2 linked regions of the Kluyveromyces lactis genome follow. The protein of the gene in region 1 interacts with the protein of each later gene in a pairwise test. Links are inferred from orthologs where the notes say so. Each region holds a gene or a part of one and is shown in the gene's direction. Other genes may lie near its edges.

Region 1 (3,421 bases):
CGAAATCCACTTTCCCAACATTAATGAATAGATCCGAAGTTGTGAAAGTCACTGAGAAACGTCTATCACCAATCAACAACGCCATCAAGTCGTTACAACAAAAGATCCAAGAACTGAGCGGACTTGAAGACATGTGCTATAAACTAATGAAAGAAAACGGCGATTGTTCTGAAGTATTTTCAGAACTGTCAAGAAATATCACAGGTACCATTGATGCACCTATTAACGGTGGTATTGCAGAGTATCGTGTATTCTATACGGATGAAGAAACCAAATCGAAACTAGATCCTGCTGATGTGGAATTATTAGTTGCTGCGTTCAACGAATTGACCATTGTCCTAAACCGTTGTCTCGCACTACACGGACAGCTGTGTCCAATCAGCTTAAGCAAGTCACATACGCTTTTGAAGGACTTATTCGCCAAGAATTTCGAAAAAGAGATCAAAGTTAGCGGAATCGATATCAACGAGACCAACGACGAAATAATCGCAAGAATAAAATCAATCCAGTCATCTCAGCAAAGTTTTTCCAAGAGAAGTAGTATGCTAATGTCAAGATCCATATTCTCAGAGAGCCACTCTATCAGATCTGCTGGAAGTAACGGAAGTGCAACAAAAAACAGTATGCATGATCTCACCGTTACCTCTTCCCATAGAACTACAAAAAGCAACGCGCCATCTCACGCAGCGTCACATGCTACGAGAATATCTCGTCCTACCACACATATCAGCATGCTAAGAAGCACAAGATAGCATAGAATAACTTTCTCCCACTGCAACTGTTCTAATTCTCACCTCATGTAGTCTATATAACAATCCAAATACATTTAGGAAAACATCAAAACGTACGGAGTGATTTATGTGCCTAAGCAATTTTTCCCGGTAAAAAATCGATCAAAAGCCAATTCTTTGCAGAGAGAGAGTTTGGATTAAACCTTTCTACCACAACTATTTTCAACGATCATTTGTTGTACATTCTTTTTATTTTACATTCGATTATTTCAGATCGTTGTTACTGTACAGTATAGTGTCTAGTGATATTACAGAGAGATAAAGAAGGAAAGCAAAGATGTTTAGAAGTGTATTCCGTGCTGCCCCAAGTTTGACCAGAGTTTCTGGATTGAGAAGCGGATTTGTAAAGCCAACTTTTTCAAGTGCTTCCAGGTTCTATGCTTCTTCTTCTCTATCCAAAGAAGAAATCACAACCCGTATTGCTGATGTGATTAAATCTTTTGATAAGACAGCTTCTGCTACTTCGATTACTGCTAACACTCAATTTTCCAAGGATTTAGGATTAGACTCATTGGATACCGTTGAATTGTTGGTTTCCATTGAGGAAGAATTCGATATCGAATTCCCAGATAAGGTTGCAGATGAGCTCAAGTCTGTCGGTGAAACTGTGGAATACATCGCTTCCAGCCCGGAAGCTAACTAAGCAATTGGGATCCGAAACGTTGCCCTTCGGTTTTACCAGAATTTAATGTGGAAGAATGTACATATATTGACACACATATATAACTTATAATGAAAGATAAGATAGTTTTGATGAACTGTTTCATGGCCAAAGTGCTATATGTAAACGTCTATTTGTATATCCTTATTACTCCATATGTTTGAACTTGATTTCCATCGGGTCATATGATTTGTAATTCAAACATTTTTCCTTGCGCCCAATGATCACTGAGTTCAATTTTTAAGGTTATGTAACATGCAAACCACATCTTTAGACAGACGGTTGTTGAGGTAAAGACAATGGTTATAAACGCCATTTAGTATTAGATCCGAACCCATATACTTCCAATATATAAAAAATGAGCCGTGAAGAGAGAGTTTTGAGTGATACTGATAATGAAAATACGAATGAGGAAATAGAGACTGGTATTGATTCCCCGGACGAATCATCTTCAGGGTTGTTCACAGCGGGACGCTCGTTACAATCGAACGTCATAGAAGACCACAACCCTGACTATATATCTGCAGATGCAGAATTGGCCGCAGAGATACCAGATGACACCGAAGTAATTGACTTAGTGCATTTGAAAGTACTGGCGTTGGAAGACTTGAATTTGTTGAGATTTAAGAATTTGAAGAAGTTATATTTAAGACAGAATTTGATCGAGTCAATAGCTGAACTGGAGGTACTACCGTTAGAAAACATGGAAGAGATTGATTTTTACGATAATAGAATCAAACACATCTCGAAAAGCGTTAATCTTTTCTCTAATCTAAAGACACTCGACTTATCTTTTAATAAGATTAGAACTATCAAGAACGTCGATAAATTGGTAAACCTCGAGAATTTGTATTTCGTCCAGAATAAGATATCTAAGATTGAAAATTTAGGAACCCTTACAAAGTTGAAAAATCTTGAGCTTGGTGGCAACAGAATCAAAGAAATTGGTCCTGATGACTTGAAAGGTTTGGCTAATCTCGAAGAGATATGGTTGGGTAAGAACTCAATCCCTAAATTGATAAACTTGCAACACCTCAAAAATTTGAGAATATTAAGCATCCAATCTAACAAATTGAAGAAATTTGAAGGACTTGAGGAGTTGGAGAACTTAGAAGAATTGTATGTCTCTCACAATTTTATTTCGAAGATCGAAGGACTTGAAAATAACCTAAAATTAACTACTTTAGATGTAACTGGTAATAGACTTACGAAGATCGAAAACTTAAAGCATTTGACACATCTTACTGACCTATGGGCGTCTGATAATCAAATTGATCAACCGTTCGAATCTCTAGGCGAAGAATTGGGGAAATTACCTGAATTTGAAACGATATATCTCGAAGGAAATCCAATACAGACTAAAAATCCTACACAGTACAGAAGAAAGATTATGTTGAATTTGGGGGAATCGCTTCAAAAAATCGACGCTACGTACGTTCGTGCCTAATTAAATAAATATACGCTACGCACTTCTATTGAATGAGCAGTTAACCAGTATTTGCTGCTTTTCCCTCAGTTATATATATGTATGTACATATCTAGCACAAACAACAGAACATCATTTACTAATCAATATTTTAACCAACTTACATCATTGATAAGAAGAGAGGAAAAAAGGAACTTAAAACATGTTAGTCGGCATAAAAGCTGATGGTAAGAGGCATAAAATTGGTCGGAACGTTAGCCATGGTTAAAACTGCAAACCACACTTTTGTTGGTTCTCTAGCCTGCCAACGAGACTCATTTAAGGCCAAAGAATTTGAGACTACTGTAATTGCATGCGATGTAGGTAAGAAGAAGAATACCTTTGAGATCGAACTTCAGGATACTATCTTGTTTCCAGAAGGTGGCGGACAACCTAGTGACTCTGGGAAATTCCTTCTCAAAACTGGGGCCTCAATTCCTGTCTCCTCAGTATTCAGAAGAGGACTGCATGCAGTTCATATCACTGATAGGGATGTTCCAGTCG
Region 2 (2,759 bases), on another chromosome or scaffold:
TATATTGTCTTCCAAGAGCTTTTCAGCAGTCTCTGCAAGATGTCTTTTTGGATCCTGTTTTCCTACATAACGCGTTTTCAATTCTTCTTCACTCAATTCTCTCTCTTCCTCAATTCTCTTAGTGAATTGTTCAGCGATCTTAATCATTTTCTGAGTTTCACCCAAGTTGTGCTCCTCTCTTTCCTTGAAATCATGCATTTTTAGTCCCGATTGCCATTGTTCCTTATGTAGATTCATTAACATGTTCATTTCGGCGGAAGTCTTGTGATAATCGATATTAAGCGAGTAATAATGCCTATTTAGACCATGAATCAACGCTTGAATATTCGGTTTGTTGATCAACCCGATATTAGAAGTATTTTGCCTTGGTTCCTGGTTTCTCATGACAGTAGAAGGGTCAATTAGTCTGAATGCATCAATGACCACTTTACCCTTCACCGATTGAATAGGATCAACAACCACCGCCACAGCCCTGCTGTTTAATTGTTCAAATGATTTCTGAGTATTCACATCTACTGAAGATAACCAACAACCAAAACCCGGATGTGAATGGTACCATCCGACAACCATTTGATCTCTTCCTGTTTGTTTTAACATATCCATCATCTTAGCTTGAAAAACATCATCAACAGCCTCGACAGAAACACCTGTACCTGACTGAGGCATGGCAAACACATCGACAACGTTTACTGTATAATCATCAACAAATTCTCCCAACATAAGACCCATGACTTCCATTGGAACACCAGCTCTCCCATGTTTCAACATCTTCAACAATGCAAGAGAAGAAATGTACACAGTTTCCTTGGTGTCATCAAGGGGAACCTCGGTGGCATTGGCACCCATCATGCCTGCTCTTTGAGACATCATCATTCTTTGTAAACTTTCCATCTTTTGTTGAAGGATTTGAATTGCGGAGACGATAAATTGGCTTTTGTATCAGCGTTCTGTTTCTTGATATAATACTTCCTTAATAAAGTACCAACAAATTGAAATTCTTATTCTTTCCTGAGAAGTATGCAATTGTCTTGTAGATTTCAATTACTGTGTATCTAATACTGCTAATAATGACTTATGGATACCACACGTACAGAGATGAGAATTCTTGACGAATTATCTGCTTATACCTTTATCAATTGTAAACTGTTTGCCACTGCATTACAAAGTTACGATCTTTCTTTTGGCTTATGGATTTAGTAGTCATTATTAACGAACATCACCACTTTCTGACCTTCAGATATTTAACCTCTTTCTTCCCTTTAAAAATGAGATGAGACTGGAGTACTTCTATGCATACATGGATATCTCATATACAAAGCGAAGCTCCATGGTCTAGTACAGTCAAATACTCGAGAGCACGACTTGTTGAAGAAAATATTCCGTTTTATTGACGCCGAAGATTTTAGAAATAGGAAACGATTTCTTACATTATTCATACTTTGTTCCCAGTCCTTTGATAAGTGAAATTACGAAAGATTATCAAGACTTAGACAGGAAAACTTTACCTATCGTCACGCTTTTTTTATCAGTTTGATCCATCATCATAATTAAACTTTGAAATATTTCCTAACATATGAGTGAAGGACCTTCTGCTCTTCCTGAAGGAACGCATACCGTCACTGTTACGGAGGTTCCGCAGCTGCTTCAATTGCGTGCTGGCCAGAATGAGAAAAACAAAACTAAGAAGAAGGACACCAAGTCTAAAGTAAGATGGGATGAGAAAGTAATAGATAATGAGAACATGAACAAGAAGAAAACTAAGATTTGTTGCATTTTCCATCCTAATACCCCATTAGAGAGTGATGAAGAAGAGGAAGGAGAGTGCGAGCACGATCATAATCATGGACATGATTCATCGTCTTCATCATCTTCGTCTTCTTCAGACGAGGATGAGGGAAAAAGCTTTGACGAAAGAAGAAAGGCAAGACTCGAAAGGCGGAGAAAAAAGCTTGAGCAAAAACGTCCACCAAGTCCGAATGCATACGAAGTCCAGCCAGATTACAGCGCTTATAGAGATAAGAACAGAAAAGACGCTCAATGATTTAGGAATTTGATCAGCATACTCTTTCACTTCTTGTACATTTCGTTGCATCTTCTACTCACTACAACAATGCACTGCTGAAAAGGTAATTGGCAGTTCAAATGTATATATATACATATGCATATATAATCTATCAGGCAATTATATCGAATAACAATCGACTTACACATGGTTATTTTATTGTATGCTATTATGGTAGGACGTCTGGGTTCTGACATAACTCAGGTGCTCATAAATGAGAGCTCTGCTACAAACCAACTTCTATATTGATTAATATGCTGTAAGTTTCTCTTGGCATTTTGTATTGAATCATACCAGCATAAATCATACAATTTTTAGCAACACGTTTGAGAGAATCGATTTGCTGCTTTTTAGTCAAAGATTGGTAATCACTTTCGTTCAACTGCTTTATGATGTTAGAAATGCATAGCATTGTAATTATCAACAGGTTAGGTATGTTCTTTAATATATTCTCATCCAAATGTGTAAATTCTTGTGCTCTTTTTCTGGTCGAGCTTTCATCCGTGAACGGAATTAAATCGAGATCTTCAATCTGTTGTAGGGTGTTTTGCCATTGGCGTGCTAGGAATGATGCTCTTATATCAGCTAGTTTCAACAAGACAATACATGTTTCTTTGTTTCTTGCCTGAACCTTTTTAGAGATTTCGATGTTGTTGATGTACACTTCGATTAACTTCTTTGCCATTAAGACGTAATT

What was found.
Region 2: the proteins of SDS22 (region 1) and YPI1 interact in binary tests that used the Saccharomyces cerevisiae proteins (3 or more experiments, as listed by UniProt). The link is inferred for Kluyveromyces lactis from reciprocal best matches to the Saccharomyces cerevisiae genes SDS22 and YPI1.

What each region holds. Positions count from the first base shown.
Region 1 is NC_006040.1:237,528-240,948, reverse strand, and holds SDS22 (type 1 protein phosphatase-activating protein SDS22), read left to right. Parts: upstream 1-1,810; coding exon 1,811-2,899; downstream 2,900-3,421. Other genes in the region: guanine nucleotide exchange factor DCK1, read left to right, coding at 1-752; ACP1 (acyl carrier protein), read left to right, coding at 1,069-1,434; KLLA0_D02794g (putative alanine--tRNA ligase), read left to right, coding at 3,103-3,421. UniProt on the Saccharomyces cerevisiae protein: Regulator of the mitotic function of yeast type 1 protein phosphatase.
Region 2 is NC_006041.1:1,251,925-1,254,683, forward strand, and holds YPI1 (type 1 protein phosphatase-activating protein YPI1), read left to right. Parts: upstream 1-1,573; coding exon 1,574-2,041; downstream 2,042-2,759. Other genes in the region: proteasome regulatory particle lid subunit RPN11, read right to left, coding at 1-891; linker nucleoporin NIC96, read right to left, coding at 2,289-2,759.